Xenopus tropicalis: one gene and its partners. The protein of the gene in region 1 purifies or fractionates together with the protein of each later gene. This does not show direct contact. Links are inferred from orthologs where the notes say so. Each region holds a gene or a part of one and is shown in the gene's direction. Other genes may lie near its edges.

Region 1 (5,336 bases):
AGAATTCAGCCAGCAGGAAGTGATAAAGAAGCGGAGCACAGAAAAACTTAGAAATAAAAACATAAATTTATTTCATCATTTAAAAACAGGTCAGAGCATATTCACCTCTTTAGCTTAACGCGTTTCGTGGTAACACCACTTCCTCAGAAGCCCAAATTGTGACACCCTCCATTTGAATTTAAATAGATAGGACACACACCCATTCTTAATTGGCAACTCACTGTTAACCCTGAAGTGTGAAAAACAAGCACATATATGTCCATAGACGTGATGAAAACCTTGTATATATAAAAACATATAAAGAGCACCCACCCGGGTGCTTATCAATTATAAAAAACTGTACCCTCCAAACCACACATCATTTAGGTAAGCTTAGGTGTTGTATTAGTAACAATAATGATGATAGTAGTAATAATAATAGTAACAATAGATCAAAAAAGTCACATGTATTAAATATTGTTACAAGTTGTTTCTAAGTTGTATATATATGATTATATGTCCAATTGTCAGACCACAATACTAAACTAAAAGTATACATATAAACATACTGCTTCCAAAAATATTAATCAATTATATAGCGGTGTGGTCACATGATTATCAGTAGAAACAGGATAATTCCCATCATCTATTGAGGCCCCCATATTGCTCTGTTGTTTTCAACCGATATATCCAAAAGACCTCTCTCTCTGAAAGTTTCTTATCTATATCACCTCCCCTAACACTTATACTAGGTCTATCAATAATCTGAAAGGTCACATGATTACTACTTTCATGTCTCTCTATTATATGTTTTGCTATCGCTGATCTCGTGTCCTTTCTCTCTACGGCTGATAAGTGTTCCAGAATCCTAGTTCCAACCTTACGAATGGTTTTCCCCACATACTGAGCACCACACTCACATGTGGCTAGGTAAATGACCCCTTTGGATTGGCAGTTGAAATATTGGGGAATGGTGAAAGTAGCCAGCAGGAAGTGGAACAGATGGGCAGGACTAGTGGGGTTTTGGTGGAATTTCTCAATAAATCTCAGTCAGAAACACTACTTTTTTTAAGCACAATCCTTCTATATCTAGAGGAGTATAATTCACTGGTACATTCTTAATTTTTATAGGATATGTCTCCTTTAACGTCACAATCATGCATCACTTATACAATCAAGCAGGACTTTGAGTCTTTATGTTTTATAGGCTCCAGTACTCCAGTCCAGTTTTATGTTTTTTTCAAGGCCCCACCCTTAGGTCAATGCAACCTTGCAAATATGATACTGGTGTTATCTTACCCTTGTAACTGGTTCAGGTCCTTCCCAGCTGGTGTATTACAAGTAATAGCATTAATGGCAAAGTCACACAGGGCACTTTGTCACCAATGGTAAATCTGCGCTACAATGGGCGACAAAACGTCCCTAGCTTCCTTCTTGTTGGAAGTACTGGGAACACATATGCATCACTTCTGCTTCCAAAGTTGTCTCAGGGCAAAGGCACATGGGACATTTGTTGTCCACCGTAAATCTGCACAGCCCCTTTACAAAGCAGCTCCAGGTTACTTCACAATGCATGTTTTCTCACTAGCAATTCACATTACTGCTGGTGGCAAGAAAACTAGGTATGTTCTTCCATCTGAGGTAGCACAGATTTACCAAGTCAATTGAATAACCTAAAGCCATATGGTACTCTGCTGAAAGTAGAATTTATTTGCCCATTAATATCCACTTTAGAATGCTAGGATAGATTAACAAGGTCATGACATTAATTACATGGTTGTAAGGCCACTTAGAGTTAGCTAAAAAGAAACGCCATTCCACAATAACGCCTACGTATTACTATAGGCAACCTTTCCACTACTAATACGCACACTTCCGGGTTAGAAACACACCTCCGGACTGACGCACTCAGAGTGCGACTCGCGAAGTACAGGAGCCGGTGACGTGTGTGTACGTGGCGCTGACGTCAGCATTTTCCCCGGCAGAAACAGAAAGAGAGAGGGAGTAAGAGAGAAGCGGTGACCGGTGAGATTTACTGTAAGGGGGAGGTGTGTTTGTTTCTGTTCCTATAATGTGAGGGCGCGGGGTCCAGTAAGGGGCTCCTTGGGCTCATAGTTTGTTGCCCACATTCTGTGGGAGGGTTTGATTTTGGGGGCTTGCCTTCCGTGACGTCATGCCTGTGGGGGGGTCTAATGACACTAAAGGTGATAATCACTACACTGGGTGAGAATTGATGTTAAGATAATCTTGAGTACGCCGCATACCTACTAACCTGGCTGTCTGACTGGCCATGGCTGTGACTACCTGGCTGTCTGACTGGCCATGGCTGTGACTAGCTGGCTGTCTGACTGGCCATGGCTGTGACTAGCTGGCTGTCTGACTGGCCATGGCTGTGACTACCTGGCTGTCTGACTGGCCATGGCTGTGACTAGCTGGCTGTCTGACTGGCCATGGCTGTGACTAGCTGGCTGTCTGACTGGCCATGGCTGTGACTACCTGGCTGCCCGTCTGGCCATGGCTGTGACTACCTGGCTGTCTGACTGGCCATGGCTGTGACTACCTGGCTGTCTGACTGGCCATGGCTGTGACTACCTGGCTGTCTGCCTGGCCATGGCTGTAGCTGCCCGTCTGGCCATGGCTGTGACTACCTGGCTGTCTGACTGGCCATGGCTGTGACTACCTGGCTGTCTGACTGGCCATGGCTGTGACTACCTGGCTGTCTGATTGGCCATGGCTGTGACTACCTGGCTGTCTGACTGGCCATGGCTGTGACTACCTGGCTGTCTGACTGGCCATGGCTGTAGCTGCCCGTCTGGCCATGGCTGTGACTACCTGGCTGTCTGACTGGCCATGGCTGTGACTACCTGGCTGTCTGACTGGCCATGGCTGTGACTACCTGGCTGTCTGACTGGCCATGGCTGTGACTACCTGGCTGTCTGACTGGCCATGGCTGTAGCTGCCCGTCTGGCCATGGCTGTGACTACCTGGCTGTCTGACTGGCCATGGCTGTGACTACCTGGCTGTCTGATTGGCCATGGCTGTGACTACCTGGCTGTCTGATTGGCCATGGCTGTGACTACCTGGCTGTCTGATTGGCCATGGCTGTGACTACCTGGCTGTCTGACTGACCATGGCTGTGACTACCTGGCTGTCTGATTGGCCATGGCTGTGACTACCTGGCTGTCTGATTGGCCATGGCTGTGGCTACCTGGCTGTCTGACTGACCATGGCTGTAACAACTTGGCTGTCTGTCTGACTGGCCATGGTTGTAACTACTTGGCTGTCTGACTTCCCATGGCTGTAACTAACTGCATGTCTTGCTGGCCATGGTTGTAACTATTGGCTTGCTGGCCATGGTTGTAACTATTGGCTTGCTGGCCATGATTGTAACTTCATGCCTGTCTGACTGGCCATGGCTGTAACTACCTGGCTGTCTGACTGGCCATAGCTGTAACTACCTGGCTGTCTGATTGGCCATGGCTGTAACTACCTGGCTGTCTGATTGGCCATGGTTGTAACTTCATGCCTGTCTGACTGGCCATGGCTGTAACTACCTGGCTGTGTGACTGGCCATAGCTGTGACTACCTGGCTGTGACTACCTGGCTGTGTGACTGGCCATAGCTGTGACTACCTGGCTGTCTGACTGGCCATGGCTGTGACTACCTGGCTGTCTGACTGGCCATGGCTGTGACTACCTGGCTGTCTGACTGGCCATGGCTGTGACTACTTGGCTGTCTGACTGGCCATGGCTGTGACTACCTGGCTGTCTGACTGGCCATGGCTGTGACTACCTGGCTGTCTGACTGGCCATGGCTGTGACTACCTGGCTGTCTGACTGGCCATGGCTGTGACTACCTGGCTGTCTGACTGGCCATGGCTGTGACTACCTGGCTGCCCGTCTGGCCATGGCTGTAACTACCTGGCTGTCTGACTGGCCATGGCTGTAGCTACCTGGCTGTCTGACTGGCCATGGCTGTAGCTACCTGGCTGTCTGACTGGCCATGGCTGTAGCTACCTGGCTGTCTGACTGGCCATGGCTGTAGCTACCTGGCTGTCTGACTGGCCATGGCTGTAGCTACGTGGCTGTCTGACTGACCAAGGCTGTAACTACCTGGCTGTCTGACTCGCCAAGTCTGTAACTACTTGGCTGTCTGACTGGCCAAGGCTGTAACTACCTGGCTGTCTGACCATGGCTGTAACTACTTGGCTGTCTGACTTCCCATGGCTGTAACTAACTGCATGTCTTGCTGGCCATTGCTGTAACTATTGGCTTGCTGGCCATGGTTGTAACTTCATGCCTGTCTGACTGGCCATGGCTGTAACTACCTGGCTGTCTGACTGGCCATAGCTGTAACTACCTGGCTGTAACTGACTGGCCATGGCTGTAACTACCTGGCTGTCTGATTGGCCATGGCTGTAACTACCTGGCTGTAAGTGACTGGCCATGGCTGTAACTAACTGCCTGACTGGCCATGGCTGTAACTAACTGCCTGACTGGCCATGGTTGTGACTTCATGCCTGTCTGGCCGTGGTTGCAACTACCTGGCTGCCTGACGGGCCATGGTTGCAACTACCTGGCTGCCTGACGGGCCATGGTTGCAACTACCTGGCTGCCTGACGGGCCATGGTTGCAACTACCTGGCTGTCTTGTTGCCTATGGCTGTAACTACCTGTCTGTCTCTCTGGCTGGCCATGGCTCTAATAATAAATGGTCACTCCACAGAAACCAACTTATTGGGCAATTATTACATTACCTGCCTTGGCAAGTGGGGCCCAGATTTTTCTGCATTAAAAAGTAAGAAAGCATTGCTGTTGGCCCCATTGGGGTACTATTTGGTGGGCCTCCTTCAGAACGCTTCTCCCCAAAGGAGGTGCTAAGTACTTTATGTTTTGTACATGATAAATGTCCAGCCTGCTTGGTCATACATGGGCAGATAACATAACACATACAAAGCATAACATCATGTCTGAGATCAAGACTGGAGTTTTACATAAAAATGTATTCTGATGCATGTAATGCAGTCAATGCTGTATGCCAATATTCTTAAGAGCATCCCTTGGTTTCTTTTTATTGGACTACTGAAAATCAAAGTAATTAAAATGTAATGTATTGTTGTGCATTTGCTTCAGAAACTCTACTATAGTTTATATAAACAAAGCTGTTGTGTAGCTATGGGGGCAGCCATTTAAACTGAAATAGGGCTAAATGGTACAGTTTACATATCCGGTAATAGATAAGCACTGTAAAACATCATTGTATTCTACAGAGCTTATCTGTTATCTGCAATGTAACCTGTGCCTTTTCTCCTTTTTTCTTGCTGGAATAGCTACCTCCATGGCTATACAGAAACTTTAT
Region 2 (5,260 bases), about 82 Mb from region 1:
CCTTTAGGCTAAGGACCCATGGAGCGAGTTAGTTGCCAGTGAAAAGGCATTTCGGAGCAGTTAGTCCCCGCAATAGCAGAGATTTGGGCTTCTCTACTAGCCTGAGACAACCACAGTCTTTTGGCAGGGAAGATATGTGCCTCCAAAAATACCCCAGTTGGTCCCCATCTTCTTCTCTGCTGATTCACTGCCCATATTCTGCTGCTGCTGTCAGTTATTGAGCTTAGGGACGATTAGTAATTTATTCAGATTCACATTACATGGCAGCTTTGAAACCAGTGCAATTAGCATCAGAATTTATTAATCAGCCATGTGGCATCAGCGTATATGACAATTAAACCTAATTTTTGGCTTGATAATTTTCAACAACCCCTAAGCTTTGCTTCCCAACAGTTGCCCAGGGCACACTGAGCATATGCAGTGTCACTAACACTCCTAGCAACATCCAAGATGGGAAGCTTCTGTGATAACTGTAAGGACCTGGATAATTATTACTATAGAGATGCTGAAACTTTAGGCTGCTGCATCAAGTTTAGTATGTAAAATTTGGCATTTCTAGCCATATTGATTTTTTGAGTTTAATTCTCCATAAAGAGCTTTATACCTCTTCAGTCATGTCTAATTTAAATAAGTTGTGTATAAGCGGCTATTGTCTGCCTGCTGTATGCTTGTTTATTTGCTGGCTAACAATACCCATGTTTCTTATGTAACAATAAAAAATGTCTATTTTTACTATATATGTTTACCCAGCAACAAGTACACTGGACTCCCCTTATCTTCACAATAGTTCCCTAAAATGTGCTGAATTATTTATTGACTAAACCTAAATGATATATCAAAGCAGAAATATATATTATAAATCAAGTAACTCAATAATGTACTACAGGGGGTTACAATGGTTCTGCAGTCAGGGGTCCCTCTCTTTGCACCCCTTCTATGCACCTAAGCCCTGCCTACTTACCAAATCTGACCCACTTCATCCATTTAAGGCCCCACACATCACAACTTCACCCTCCTGGTACCTACTCAACCCCTTATGTCATTGGCAAATATGGCCAAGAAGTAAAAGTGAACCCTGTCTTTGCACAACATCAAGCATCATTTTTACCAGCCAGGCCAGTAAAACCCTGGGCAGGCGGCAACTGTATGTGCTGAAGGTAGGTGGGCCAGAACATGAACTGAGTTTTAATGGATTAAGGCAAAAAGGGGTAAGATGCCTCATATGCAATTGGGGTGAAGCAGGGCTTCAGTTGCCATTTATGACCTGGCCCATGCAAAACCATTAATTGTTCCAGCAGCAGCTCAGAAATTAGGGGAAACCTTAAAGTATTAAGATGCCAAGATATCACGTCTCTAGAAAAAGATTTCCCTTCTTTTCTTACTCATTATTTTGCCTAGCATCGATTTATAAAAGACAATACTGGCAGATTCCAAATAAAAGATGGCGAATCCACAGCACAAATGCCTAGGCGCCGTAACTTTCATTTTCCTTCCCTAGGAACTTTCGTACCCCGGAACCTTTGTTGAGACAGACAGGGGGGCGGTACTACAGTGTGAACCCTGTCACTGCCAGCGGAGCAGGGGGGTGGAGAGCAACGTTTCCGGCCAGCTCATCCTGATCTCTAGCCCTGTTGTGTGTGTGTGCGTCTGTCTCCCCCGGTCAACATGGTCCTGCTAACGATGATCGCCCGAGTGGCTGACGGACTCCCGCTGGCTGCCTCCATGCAGGAGGACGAACAGGTGAAATGTTCATATACAGGTCAAACATGTCTTCAACTCGAGAGAGCCCACCTGTTGGGGAGTGCATAGTAATAGCTATAGGGAACCAGATGTAGCTGAGGGCATGTTGGAGTGATGTTTAGAAGCAAAACCTTGGGCTACATAGCTCAGGGGCAGTTGTACTGGGGTGTATATTCACTGTATCCATTCAAGCGAGGGTGTTATTGTGCTGGGTGCGTTATTATAAGCAGTGCCCTGCTTGTGTGTGTTTATGCGCTATGGGAATACAGGTAAGCTGTGTATCTGAGTGCTAGCTGTTTGTTTACACTGTGATGAGATATGAATAATGTGTTTGTGTATATGTGTGAGCGTACATTGTATATATAAAGAAGTGTAGTGTATGTGTAGGGTTGACTACTGTATATGCACACACAGGTAGCCTGTCAACTTCATTTTGGGACACCTATAAAATACATTGTTAGACATACATTTCTATCATAACTGGCTGCATTGTCTCTGTTCCGTTGATTGGGCAGGTCTGGCCAGCAAGTATGTACCTGGCTATTATGCACAGCTCCGCTACAGGCACGGCCTATGTAAGCTGTTGTGGGCATATTTATTGTGCCATATAGGTGAGGGATATTTGTATGTATGTATGTATATCTTTATTTATAAAGCGCTACTTATGTACGCAGCGCTGTACAGTAGAATACATTAATACAAACAGGGTGTTAATAAGATAATAATAGATAAATACAAAGTATAACAATAAATAAATACAGCTGCAATAAGTTAAGAGTCGAGGACACAAGAGGAAGGAGGTCCCTGCCCCGTAGAGCTTACAATCTATATTTATAAAGAAAGCAGTGCGGATACATTTAGACCATACAGATGTTAGATATGTATGACTTTAACTGTGTGCGGAATGTAGAGCTGTTTGTGGTTATGTATAGTGACCATACCTGTGTCCATGCAGGTGTGAATTAGCTATTCTATTGTGTGTTTATACTGATTAGCCAGAAAGGTGAAGGCTGTGCGTAGTGTTGTATATTAGTTGTGCCACTATTAATGAACATTATATGTAGTGTTCCATGTATTTAGCCTGTACAGGTGAGGGTTATAGGTAGCTTTGGTTTTGTCCAAAAAGGTGTACATGTGGGACATGCCTAGGTCTATGCTTATGATTTATCGGTGCTTCTATAGAGTGGTGGGAGGGTGTGCATAACTGTGACGGTAAGTACTTAAATAGTACCCTGTGCATGTAGATAAGATGCCTTATTAAAGATTATATCACAGGACTGACCAGCCATAGACCGTATGTGGCCCTCTAAGGGATGTATAAGGTCACAGGTTGTGTTGGCAATCTGAGCAGAAGCTGCCTGATTGTGTCCAAGTGAAAAGGCACTGTTGCACTATTAGTAAAAATAGCCTCTAGACCTTTATCCTTCTGTTCAGGAGGTATGACCACCTCTTCTATGTTGCAAGGCTTGTGCAAGAGTTTCTTAAAAAAGTGTGCGTAAAGTTACGGAGTAGAAAGGTCATAGGGTAGAAGCGCATGGGTTCAGATTGGGAGCATTATTGAATACAGTGCAGCTCTAATTACCCAACAAAACACAGATATTCCAGAGCTACTTATTGATTTGTTGCACTTTTATAGCAACTTGTTTCTGTTCTTCCTTTATCAATGTGCTACAGTAATGTACATGGTGTGTAACTGGAAAAGCTGCTACTGTTCCCTTGTATGCAAAGGACTGTTTGCCATTATTTCAGTGCCTAAGGGTTACTGTATGAGAGGAGGATATGTAGTGCTGTAATTAGCTCCTATGGCAATGCAGGAGCTATACATAAAATGTGTTTACATGAAGATTGAGGATTGTATTGCTGTCTGCAGGTTAGCAAGTGAGCTGTAATTACTGCTCTCCCTCGAGTTATAATGAAACCTTCCCTCATTGGTCTAATTTTCATATAAAGCTCTTTGTGTATCAGGCTAAGGTAAAGTGGAAACCCACAAGGATAGCCACGTAATAAGAACTATACGAGGAGCATAGATACAGAATAATCATGCAAATATAGGAGCAGGCAAAATAAATATATTTACCCATGTGTAATCTGCATAGAATATACCGTTGCTTATTTAGGCACTTACCCCAGGACATCCTGCATGGAACCAGTCCAGAACTTTGCAGTGCCGTTGACATCACACTTTACCCTTTCTCAGTAAACATGTTGGTTGGCAGATTATTATTTGCTGAATGATTTAATGTCAGTGGTTTTTGCCACAATGGGCATCAGGGACCAGTTAGTGAAATGGCGGTTAACACTAAAAATTGTTCATATGCACCTCCCACACCTAATTATATATCTCAGAGGAACAGAGGCTGTTGAGCATGGGGGTTAAATTATAACAGTGAAAGAAATGTGGCCAGAGTAAAACCCCATTCATTAGTGCAACCATCATTCAAAACATTGACTAAAATAATGATGTGCACCTAAATAGTCATATACATAGTCATATGACTGGTCAGTAAATATTAATTACTGGTCATATCATAATTTGAAGATATGGGTTAAGTACACAAGGAGAAGGGCTTTAAAGGGCAATTAGCAAATGGTCTTCATTTTTTATGGTTTTTCAGTTATTTATTTTTGTGTTCAGCAGCTCTCCATTTTATAGCGGCTACCTGGTTGCTAGGGTATTTTTTACCCTAGTAACTTGGCAGTGGTAGAGGGCCTGCACAGAAAGATGAGTAATAAAAATGTACCCTCACTGGGCAATAGTTTTTGGCTGCCGGCGTTAGTGACCCCCATTTGAAAGTTGGAAAGTGGCAGCAGAGAAAAGCAAATAATTAAAAACTTAAAAAAATGAATAGTGAAAACCAGTTGTAAGGATTAGGGCATTCAATAACATACTAAAAGTTATCGTAAAGGTGAAGGAATTAATAATAAGGCTAAAGCCTGAGGTAGAACCTTGTGCCGATTATAAGGCAACAGGCAAGTAAATTGCAGGACTGTTACATCCAAGTTTAGTACTTAAAGATCATTGCTTCATTTTATAGATTGGGGTGATACCTTAATAATTATTAAAAAATATCAATATTTTTGTTACAGGGTACTGTGAAAAAAAGCAAATATACTTAATGATTTCCTCCCCTCTTCTCTATAAACTATTAAGGAGCCAGTGTAACCAGATTTACAGTGTAGAAGCAAAGAAGGTTTCTTGACACAGAACATGGGACAGGTGCCCAAATGCAATAACACCCTCAAAGTTTGCCCAGATGCAGTAACCCTTAGCAGCTAATTACATGGTTTCTTTAATACATATGCCCACTAAATACTTTATTTTAATTGGTTGCTGCAGGTGATTTCATGGTATATGTCATCAGAACCAGCAGAGTCAGACCATCACAGGGCTGTTGCAATAAAGAATAAATAAGGGAGGCTTATAATAATAATAAGCAATAAATAAAAAAAAAATCTACTTTCACTGTCATTCTGCTTTCTCGTTGCCAAGGCCACTGCCCCCAAACAATAAGATTATTAT
Region 3 (5,404 bases), on another chromosome or scaffold:
TTATCACTTATAGTAATATGTTCATTTCTGCTTTGGGATGCATTGCCCTTTAAAGGGGTGGCTCAATTTAGCTTTTAGTATGTTTTATAGATTGACCAGTTCTAAGCAACTTTTCATTTGGACTTCATATAAATTTTGAATTATTTTCAATTTGAATTACTTCTTGCAGCTTTCAAATGGGGGTCGGTGACCGCGGCAGCCAAAAGCTTTCCTCTGTGAAGCTACAGTGTTATTGTTACTTTTGATAACTTTTTATTTCTATTCAGTCCCTCTCCTAGTCATATATCAGTCTCTCATTCAAGCCCCTCCCTGGTTGCTAAGGTAATTTGGACCTTAGTAACCCAATAGCTGTTCTAACACCAAACTGGAGAGCTGCTGAACAATTATTGAAGTTATTTAAAACTACAAATAATGAAAAAATGAAGACCAATTGGAAATTGTCTCTGAATATTACTCTCTACATCATACTAAATGTTAACTCAGTGAACAGCCCCTTTAAAAGGGATACAAGGAGAACATGCTCTGTCCCTGCTGGGCCCAGCCCAGCAAGTTTTTCCCTTTAAATACAGGATACCTATTTAGTACATCTGCTCATATCTTGGCCATGGGATATTTGGCTTGATAAATGAGGCCTCCTATATCCGAGTGCAGCCCACACTGGTTTCCATGCAGCCATGCAGTATGTATTCGCTATGCATGTGGGTAACAAAGTACTTTTTTGTAAGAAGTTTCTATTCTGTGGCTTTGGTACTGGGACCTCTCCGCTACAGGAAGGCTCATTAATCAAAGCCAAACGGCAGAAAAAGTCCCATGACCATGAAAGGGAAAAGAAAACCACTGATAATGTCTCCCAAATGGTTCCCACAGGGTATAGAGCAGCTGTACCACTTTGTAGGAAACCTCCATATTTGTCCTTCCTATGGTACAATACCCTCTGCTACAAATATATACTTATTATAGATCTTTTTAAATGATCTTTCTTTATTGATTTTACATTTAAAGTGTGGGGGGGGGCACTGTATATACAGTAACAGTTTCTTTCTTATCTTACAGGGTATATAACAACATACCTCCCAACATTTTATTAAGAGAAAGAGGGACAAAAATATGTGACTCAGGTAGTGTGGCAAAAAAAAAATTTGGCCACGCCTGCTTTGTGACCACGCCCCACGTGCCACACCCACTTTACATGGCCCAGATGTGCCAGTATAATCACTAAATAAAAAGAATAAAGGACATATTAACTTCAAACATGCCAGTATGACTACATTAAATTGATAAAGGGCATATTAACCCCAGACATGCCAGTAAAATTACCAATCAACTTCAGACATGCCAAAAGTTCTGTGCATTTTCCAAAGTTATAAATATGGAGGAGATCCAGACGCAGGCTGAAATTGGGAAAATAAACTCCAATGGCTGCAGGGGCAGTTGGTAACCATGGAAGCCTTTTTTCTTGCGAACCTTTAGCATAAAACATAAATGACTTTTATTGGGACTGAAATGGCGAATGGCATAACGAGAAACCAACAACAAAGATAAGTGTTCACTCAGAGAAACAGAAAGCGCAAGCACAACAACATGCGATTTTGAGAGAAGCCGCCACGATTAACCAGCAGCTTCCGACTATGTAACACTGAGTTACGCCGGCTCGCCACGCCCATCGGGCGGCAACGTGTTGCGTCACTGCGCTTACGTGTAGTGGTGATGAGACTTGTGGCGTTGGGATTTCCTGTAAGACTGGAGGAGGGTTGGAGGCTGCAGTTAACAGTTTTGCGGGACCTGTAAGTAGCGACCCGGGACTGTTGGGCTGTTGGGAAAAGCGGGACTTGGTGCTATTATTAAGGCTGTGTAGGGGAGACGACACGCAGGCACTTCAGCATCCAACACCCCTCCCGAAGTCTACATCTCACTGACAGCAGGGGGGCCCTGTGAGCCAAGTAAGTGCAGCACAGCCGGCCCACCTAGAGACCCACAACCCATCGGGCCCAGGACTGCTGTCCCCCGCTCATGGCTGCCCTGCCTAGCACTGATGTGTGTGCTCATCTGTCCTTGTTATATGGAACCATTTACCCCAATCCTCCCCTCTCTCTCTTGCAGCCACCATGAAGCTTTACAGTCTCAGTGTTCTATATAAGGGAGATAACAAGGTCAGTCTTCTGAAAAGTGCCTATGATGTCTCCTCCTTCAGCTTCTTCCAGAGATCCAGGTATGATGGGTGCCCACCCTATGCTCACAGTATAATATATATGCAGTGGTTACCAAGCTGGGTGCCCCCTATGCTCACAGTATAATATATATGCAGTGGTTACCATGCTGGGTGCCCCCTATGCTCACAGTATAATATATGCAGTGGTTACCAAGCTGGGTGCCCACCCTATGCTCACAGTATAATATATATGCAGTGGTTACCAAGCTGGGTGCCCACCCTATGCTCACAGTATAATATATATGCAGTGGTTACCAAGCTGGGTGCCCACCCTATGCTCACAGTATAATATATATGCAGTGGTTACCAAGCTGGGTGCCACCCTATGCTCACAGTATAATATATATGCAGTGGTTACCAAGCTGAGTGCCCACCCTATGCTCACAGTATAATATATATGCAGTGGTTACCATGCTGGGTGCCCCCTATGCTCACAGTATAATATATATGCAGTGGTTACCAAGCTGGGTGCCCCCTATGCTCACAGTATAATATATATGCAGTGGTTACCAAGCTGGGTGCCACCCTATGCTCACAGTATAATATATATGCAGTGGTTACCAAGCTGGGTGCCCACCCTATGCTCACAGTATAATATATATGCAATGGTTACCAAGCTGGGTGCCCCCCTATGCTCACAGTATAATATATATGCAATGGTTACCAAGCTGGGTGCCCCCTATGCTCACAGTATAATATATATGCAGTGGTTACCAAGCTGGGTGCCACCCTATGCTCACAGTATAATATATATGCAGTGGTTACCAAGCTGGGTGCCCCCTATGCTCACAGTATAATATGTATGCAGTGGTTACCAAGCTGGGTGCCACCCTATGCTCACAGTATAATATATATGCAGTGGTTACCAAGCTGGGTGCCCACCCTATGCTCACAGTATAATATATATGCAATGGTTACCAAGCTGGGTGCCACCCTATGCTCACAGTATAATATATATGCAGTGGTTACCATGCTGGGTGCCCCCTATGCTCACAGTATAATATATATGCAGTGGTTACCAAGCTGGGTGCCCCCTATGCTCACAGTATAATATATATGCAGTGGTTACCAAGCTGGGTGCCCACCCTATGCTTACAGTATAATATATATGCAGTGGTTACCAAGCTGGGTGCCCACCCTATGCTCACAGTATAATATATATGCAGTGGTTACCAAGCTGGGTGCCCCCTATGCTCACAGTATAATATATATGCAGTGGTTACCAAGCTGGGTACCCACCCTACGCTCACAACATCATATATATGTAGTGGTTCCTATTCAGGTGCCTTGACATTCCTACATCAGATGGGGAGCATGCATACATATAATTCAGCCCTTGCCTGGACTGTGAACTCTGGGGGTCATTTATGAACACTTGGCAGGTTTGCACCTGGGCATTAGCCCATGGGAACCAATCAAAAGTTTGCTTTTTATTGTTCTACCTTCAGCTAGCTGTAACATTTGCCCAGTGTTTATACATGAGTTCCTTTGTTTTTTAGGTGCATGTTGGACTTTCTTGGCCCACACTGCCTGCAAGAAATTAGAGGGTATACTGATTATACCAAGAATGTTTGCTTACAGTCTTAGAGACTCTTTATTTGAGAGGGCAGGCTATTCACAAAGTTGTATAAAATGTGGTAGTAACCTATAGCAACTAGCCAGAATGTTTCTTTTTTCAGTCTTGTTGCAGCTGGATCTTGGCTAGTTGCTATGGGTTCATATATGTCAGCTCGTATGCCACCCTACTTTGGTCCTCATCACCTAGTCAACCACAATCTCGCACTCCCCAAAGTATGCATCCAAGTTAATGTTTACCCCCTGAAATGGAAAATATATAAAACCCACCTGAAATTACCTTAGATACAAGCAGCATTGGGCAGAGCTGGGAGCGCAATGTGGGGGCAGCACTTCTGAAAAAAGGGGGCCTGCTAGTAAGACATACCTGTGTGTTTCTTGCTCCACAGTACATATTGCCTCATTAAGCCATGCATCTATTCATACATCTATTCCAACAAATGCGTCAAAGTTATTATAATGTACTGTTGCCCTGCAGTGGTAAAAGTTGTGTGTTTGTTTCAGAAACACTACTACAGTTTGTATAAACAAAGCTGCTGTGTAGTCATGGAGGCTGCCATTCCAATTATAATAGGGCTAAGTGGCATAGGTTACTTAGCAGATAACGGATAAGCTCTGTAAAACACCACTGTATTCTACAGAGCTTGTCTGCCATCTTCTGTGTAACCTGTGCCTTTTTTTTCCAGCTTAAATATCTACCCGTGGCTACACAGCAGCTTATTTATTTAACCTAAAGTAATGAGGCAAACACAAAATGTTTTCCAGTGCAGGGCAATGCTAAATGATATTTTAATTAACTTAAAACACTTTAATTTTTGGTGTTACTGTTCCTATAAATTAAAGTCAATAGATGAGCTTAAATATGTACTCAGCTGAGCAACCAATAGGGGGCTCCAATTCATATAAAAACATTCAGGGATGAAAATATGGTTGGCTGGGCTTAGTAACCAGAGCTAATGCAATATGTAATTCACTTATAGAGAGTCAGAACTTATAATGTCACAAGGTGTCTATCTCTTTATTAGACTGCCTTTCATATGGTAGCCATGGTCGAGCAAATAGATCTCTTATTGATTCAGAGGATGGAGAATGAAACCTTCCAGAGCTGATTCCAACTGACTGCAAATAAAGAGAGAGCATTCCTTTCTGCCTCTAGCCGTGCTATTCCCCGGTTCTGTTTTGTACCAATATATACTTAACTTGTAATGAATTCCACAAACTTTCTTGAAGCTATCTAATGTATCTGCCATTTTCTTTCCACAGCATCCAGGAGTTTATGGCATTTACCAGCCAGCTGATAGTGGAACGATCAGATAAAGGGAGCCGGTCCTCTGTGAAGGAGCAAGGTCAGTTGTGCATATTATAAATGCCATATGCACATCAGAGGTTAGCTGCTCTGGAAGCACAATACACAGTACAGGTTTGGGACCTGTTATCCAGAATGCTCAAGGACCTGGGTTTTTCCGGATAAGGGGTCTTTCCATAATTTGGATCTCTGTAACTTAAGTCTGCTAAAAATCATTCAAATATTGAACAAACCCAATAGGCTTGTTTTGCCTCCAATAAGGATTAATTATATCTTAGTTGGGATCAAGTACAAGGAACTGTTTTATTATTACA
Region 4 (5,233 bases), on another chromosome or scaffold:
TTGAGAGAAAAACCACCAATGCCATTGGTAGGCAGTCATAGGTCCCAACTGTCCCGCTTTACGCGGGACAGTCCTGGTTTTTGCCTACTGTCCCGGATACTTATCAAAATGTCCCGCGGTGCCTTTAAGAGTCCCGCTCGTCTGCAGGTCTTCTCGGCTCATTCCGTCACCGCTATCTACGGATCTTCACGGCTTCTTCCGCGCGTTTGTCTTCGGCTCTTTCCGGCTCCTTCAGGTGCTTCGCCATCTCGGTCCTTTTTGTGGTTGTCTGCAAGTCTCGCGAGATGTGAGTATGGCTGAGCAAGCCATTTCACTTAAAATTCAGAACGAACAGGATGGGTGCTAGTGCTGCTCAGGCTGTGGGTCACAAAAGTTACGCTGGTGCTGCTGTGCCTTTATCTACTACTATACAAGCTCTACTTACTGCTCCTTTTTTAAAAAAAATAAGCTTGGTGAGTCCCTGACTGTAACAAAGGTGTTTATTAATAATGAATATTAATTATTTATTAAGAATTAATAAACACTTGTTACAGTCAGGGACTCACCAAGCTTATTTTTTTTAAAAAAGGAGCAGTAAGTAGAGCTTGTACAGTAGTAGATAAAGGCACAGCAGCACCAGCGTAACTTTTGTGACCCACGACCTGAGCAGCACCAGCACCCACAACAAATAAAAAAGTGCAGGAAGAAGCTGTGAAGATCCAAAGACAGCAGTGACAGAAGGAGCCAAGGAAACCCAAAGGAAGACAAAAAGACCTGAAGACGAGCAGGACACTTAAAAGACACAGCAGGACATTTCAGTAAGTATCTGGGACAGCGGGACAATGTGCAAAAATGGGACATCTGGGGGTGTGGCCATATAGTGGGCGTGGTCAAGAAAAATTTCGCCGCGCTTAGCGCTGCAAAATATTTTGTCCCTCTTTTTCATTTTCAAATGTTGGGAGGTATGAGCAGTTTATATTAAACTCATTGCCAGGCACGTTAAGCAGTTTGGGTTATTCTTTACTGCCTTTCCTTAACTTGGCCTTCAGGTCATTAGTAAAGTATATAGTTGGTGGTGCACCAATAAGCAAAAAAAACTGTTTCCTGGACCTTTAACCTCTACCGCATTTATGCTTAGAGAGCAGAGAATGGTAACATGGAGTTACTGTAATAAGCAGTATTAGCTGAATCAGAACAAAGGCTGCCCCCTTACTAATAATGTTAACGCCAGGGTAGTAAAAATGATGCCTCGTTCCAAACATTGCCAATAGCGAGGCAAAAAGCTAAAAACAAACAAACCCGGAAGACCACTGTTTTTTTTAATATGAAATGCAACACTACACGAAGATAAGGACAACTAAAACATAAAAAAGATCATATGTAAAAAAATGATAATGTAATAGAAAACAACGCACTACAGTCTGTATTATTTTTAAAAAGGAGTACACATCTTTCCCTTTAAATGCCGCTCAGAAAAAGCCTAACTACATCTTCTGACTGTGTCTAGGCGGATGTGAATGCTAACGTTTGGTCACGTGGCACGGATATTGGCGGAAACAGAATAATCATGTGTTCTGCGGGCGGAAGTTTTGCTGTCACTGAAGCATAGCTGCTGATCCGGAGAAATACTAAGCGCAGTCATTATTTGCCTGCAAAATCAGGTCAGCGTCCCGCACACTGTTACAATTCTTTCCCTTCTGCTTGCCCTATTCTTCTGCTCTCTGATTCCCGATTATCTCCCTCGGCCGTCTCTCGGTTCAAGGGTTTTTGATCCCTGGCCTCTGCCTCCTGTTTGTCTCTATCCGCGAGTATCCTCGTATTACTAGCTCGTCGGCTTTCTACGAGGCCTTTCACTCATTTGCAGAGCTTTTTCTTGGCTGCCTGCCTCCTAGTTCTGGTTAGCGCTCTGAATCGGCTAACATCTTGCGGTAATAGAAAAACTTTAATAGATTAACTACTTTCCTAAAATGTAATTCCAGGCCCATGTTACAATGGCTGATTCTATGGTCTCTGATCTAATACCGGGGAATTTTTCTGAATTTATAGATATTTTCTTTTTTATAATTTATATTGGCATCTATTTTCCATATTTTCTGATTGTTATTATCATTGACAGGCCCCATTCAACCATGGATAACTCTGGGAAGGAGAAGGAGGCTCTGCAGCTTCTGGCTGAGGCTGACAAGAAGGTGAAGTCATCGCAGTCATTCTTTTCAGGGCTGTTTGGGTAAGTGAATTAGAAATAATTACATGGTAACAGGGCAAAATCTGTTTCTGACCAAAAGCATTGAACTGTCACTAGTGTTAGTAATATTAAGCATTTACAACGCTGTAGCTGTCACTACACAAAGCATTTTACATTTTGTTAATCTTATAACTTGAATAGTGTGTAATCTTTGTCTGTTTGTCTGCATTTAAGAGGCTCCTCTAAAATGGAAGAAGCATGCGACCTCTATGCCAGGGCTGCCAACATGTTTAAGATGGCCAAGAACTGGAGTGGTAGGTAGTATGTAATCTGTAAAATCATTTGTAACAAACTTTCCATATATCCATATATAGGTATATAGATATTTATACTCCTCGGAATAGTGCAATAAGATGCTCTTCTTCTTTTTCCCAGCTGCTGGCAATGCCTTCTGCCAGGCTGCCCAGATCCATCTTCAGGTTCAAAGCAAGCATGATGCAGCCACTAACTTTGTGGATGCTGGAAATGCATTCAAGAAATCTGACCCCCAGGGTAAGAGAGGTCCTAGTTGTCTCTTGAATGAGTCTTTTTTTTTTTCAAAGTTATCTATCAATAACTGTTTGTACCAGCACCCAGTGTTCCCCTTTGATTTGTTTTCGGTCATATGCACAAAGATAACATATTTATATCAGTTATGTGCACAGAAATGTGGGTTGTTGTAATAACTAAGTGTAAATAAGTGTTTTGCACAAAAGTGTTTTTTGTCTATTGTGGCAATACCCCCACAATGATAGCTCCAAGAAGAATAAAATGCAGAGACCCCCCTCCTCCCCCGTCTTGATGCTCCTGAATACAGTGCTCCTCACCTGTAACTGTTAATAATAGACAAAATAGACCGGTGTGATTTGCAGCATTTTTTTACTATCAAAGCAATCCTAGCACTGGTCGCCAAATGCAAACAGGCACATTTCAAGCTGATCTGATATTGTCTTGACCAGAGAATGCCATGCACAGCCAGGCACATGAATATATTCTTATATATTCATCTTGAATATGAAATGCCAGGTGATTTTAGGCCTTATTTTATTAGAGGTATTTTATTAAATGAAATAAAGGCTTTTCTGCAAGAATACATAAAGCAATGCTTAACTTTTTCAATAATAACTTTGATAAATGATCACAAGTATCTATATTGTTTTCAGAGGCAATTAACTGTCTGCTTCGAGCAATAGAGATCTACACTGACATGGTAAGGACAATTTCAAACTATCTTCCGCTTTTTTTTGGTCTTTATCACTTCTTAAGTTGACCACAAACAGAGTGACAATGCGAATATGGCTAAAAGAACGCAAGATGTTTAGTAAGATATTTGTTGACTAAGGATCAAGGTGTGTTTAAATGCAGTTTGTAGAGAATGATACATATGTGTTTGGGAAATGGGCAATAGAATTGTTATGGAAACAAGTGGGTTTTTTTTTAGTCAGAAAGTAGCAGGGAACAAAAAAAATGCTCTTCTAATGAATGTTCGGATATCGATCATACGTTTAAATGCAACGATCTAAAACTAACATTCAGACTGAAATTGTAGGATAAAGCTCTAAAAATAAATTGGAGGATGTTCTGAACATGAAATAGTAGGCAGACATCAATAATGCAAAAGTGAGGGCAGGCAGTACCCTTCTGAACAAACTCTATGCCAGGTGGCAACAGGATCTCCCCCACATTACACTTGAACTGTGGGAGGAGGTGTTGGAGTCAACCTTTGATGCTGTAATTAGGGATACACCCCACCGTTACAAATATTAAACCAGGAGCTCCCACAAGAGTGCCCCAGATGTCGTTTTTCACCATCTGACTTTATCCAGCTGTTGTGGCCTGTGTGCAGCACTTCTGGGAGGAAGTGGCAAAATATATACCCGGTAGAATGGATATCTGGTATATGCTCAGTCAGGTTCAAGAGCTGTCCCCCCTCATAGAGAAAAAAAAAATGTAAATGTCCATTTTATGTATGTATGCAAAAAAAAAAAAAAAAAAACCCACAGAAAAATTGCACAATTCTTAAAGACACCTGGTGGGCCAACTGTGGCAGCATGAGAAGCTATGGTGGAGGGAGCCATTCCCCTGTATCCCCTGCATAGGCGGTCCTCAAAGATTTGATGTTTGTTGTTGGGTTTTATGTTGAATTTTCTTGTTTATGTTTAGGTTTATTGTAAAATGAGCATCCTATTCATCTGGTTTTTTTTATGATGTTGCACCATGTACTTTTCAAATGCTTAATAAGAGCATAAAAAAACAATCAAAAAAAAAAAAAAAAAAACCTTGTGTTTTTTTTCATGTAGGGAAGATTCACCATTGCCGCCAAACATCACATTTCCATAGCAGAGATCTACGAGTCAGAGCTGGTTGACATAGAGAAGGTGAGTTATTTTCTCTCTCAGATATAATCTTTCTCTTCTTCCATTTCTTCATATGCTCTCTCTCTCTCCCTCTTTCACGACAATTATCCTTTATGGTCTCTTAAAATGCTGGTTGCACAGAGATATGGGAGGGTTCAAATAAGTGTAAAACTAAGTGAACAATGTTTGTCCATGCAGTGACCTCAATATTTGTGTGTGCGAATAAGTGCTTGGCTTACAGGGAACTTTGTCCTAGATCTTTTATTGTTCCTCTGGGTCATCAGTTTTGTCTGCCTGCTTTTAGGCTGATGCCACACAGGGCTGATTCTCAGCTTGTGGAAAAAGGCCCTCCTGTCAACAGTCTCCTGCCTTGCCTACACCCGGAACCATTGTGTCGGCCGCATGCACCTACACCCAGGCTGACACAATTGTTCTGTGTGCAGACAAGATAGGAGGCCGATGCCAGTGGAGGGGCTAAAAACGCATGCTGAGAATCAGCCCAGTGGCCATTAGCCTTATCCACATCTTATAGTACTCTACCTACTCTGCCTTCTTTTTGTGTCTACTTCACACATTCTCATTTCTCCATCAGGCAATAGCACACTATGAGCAAGCAGCAGACTACTACAAAGGAGAGGAATCTAACAGGTAATCCAAGCTATGCTAAACAAAA

Evidence for each region. Proteins that work in one complex are often made in the same cells at the same time.
Region 2: the proteins of stx5 (region 1) and sec22b purify together in Homo sapiens (co-immunoprecipitation; 4 studies listed by BioGRID and IntAct, counting the BioPlex papers as one, with this or other methods). This does not show direct contact. The link is inferred for Xenopus tropicalis from reciprocal best matches to the Homo sapiens genes STX5 and SEC22B.
Region 3: the proteins of stx5 (region 1) and ykt6 purify together in Homo sapiens (affinity purification with mass spectrometry; 3 studies listed by BioGRID and IntAct, with this or other methods). This does not show direct contact. The link is inferred for Xenopus tropicalis from reciprocal best matches to the Homo sapiens genes STX5 and YKT6.
Region 4: the proteins of stx5 (region 1) and napa purify together in Homo sapiens (affinity purification with mass spectrometry; 3 studies listed by BioGRID and IntAct, with this or other methods). This does not show direct contact. The link is inferred for Xenopus tropicalis from reciprocal best matches to the Homo sapiens genes STX5 and NAPA.

Annotation. Positions count from the first base shown.
Region 1 is NC_030680.2:36,552,701-36,558,036, reverse strand, and holds the start of stx5 (syntaxin-5), read left to right. Parts: upstream 1-1,935; 5' UTR 1,936-2,004; exon of another isoform or gene 2,005-2,027; intron 2,028-5,336. UniProt on the Homo sapiens protein: Mediates endoplasmic reticulum to Golgi transport.
Region 2 is NC_030680.2:118,087,586-118,092,845, reverse strand, and holds the start of sec22b (vesicle-trafficking protein SEC22b precursor), read left to right. Parts: upstream 1-1,644; 5' UTR 1,645-1,665; coding exon 1,666-1,740; intron 1,741-5,260. UniProt on the Homo sapiens protein: SNARE involved in targeting and fusion of ER-derived transport vesicles with the Golgi complex as well as Golgi-derived retrograde transport vesicles with the ER.
Region 3 is NC_030679.2:126,517,296-126,522,699, reverse strand, and holds the start of ykt6 (synaptobrevin homolog YKT6), read left to right. Parts: upstream 1-1,788; 5' UTR 1,789-1,940; intron 1,941-2,100; 5' UTR 2,101-2,105; coding exon 2,106-2,209; intron 2,210-5,047; coding exon 5,048-5,130; intron 5,131-5,404. UniProt on the Homo sapiens protein: Vesicular soluble NSF attachment protein receptor (v-SNARE) mediating vesicle docking and fusion to a specific acceptor cellular compartment. Functions in endoplasmic reticulum to Golgi transport; as part of a SNARE complex composed of GOSR1, GOSR2 and STX5.
Region 4 is NC_030684.2:79,896,921-79,902,153, forward strand, and holds the start of napa (alpha-soluble NSF attachment protein), read left to right. Parts: upstream 1-1,617; 5' UTR 1,618-1,640; intron 1,641-1,650; exon of another isoform or gene 1,651-1,907; intron 1,908-2,095; 5' UTR 2,096-2,108; coding exon 2,109-2,206; intron 2,207-2,398; coding exon 2,399-2,478; intron 2,479-2,599; coding exon 2,600-2,716; intron 2,717-3,366; coding exon 3,367-3,413; intron 3,414-4,503; coding exon 4,504-4,581; intron 4,582-5,152; coding exon 5,153-5,208; intron 5,209-5,233. UniProt on the Homo sapiens protein: Required for vesicular transport between the endoplasmic reticulum and the Golgi apparatus. Together with GNA12 promotes CDH5 localization to plasma membrane.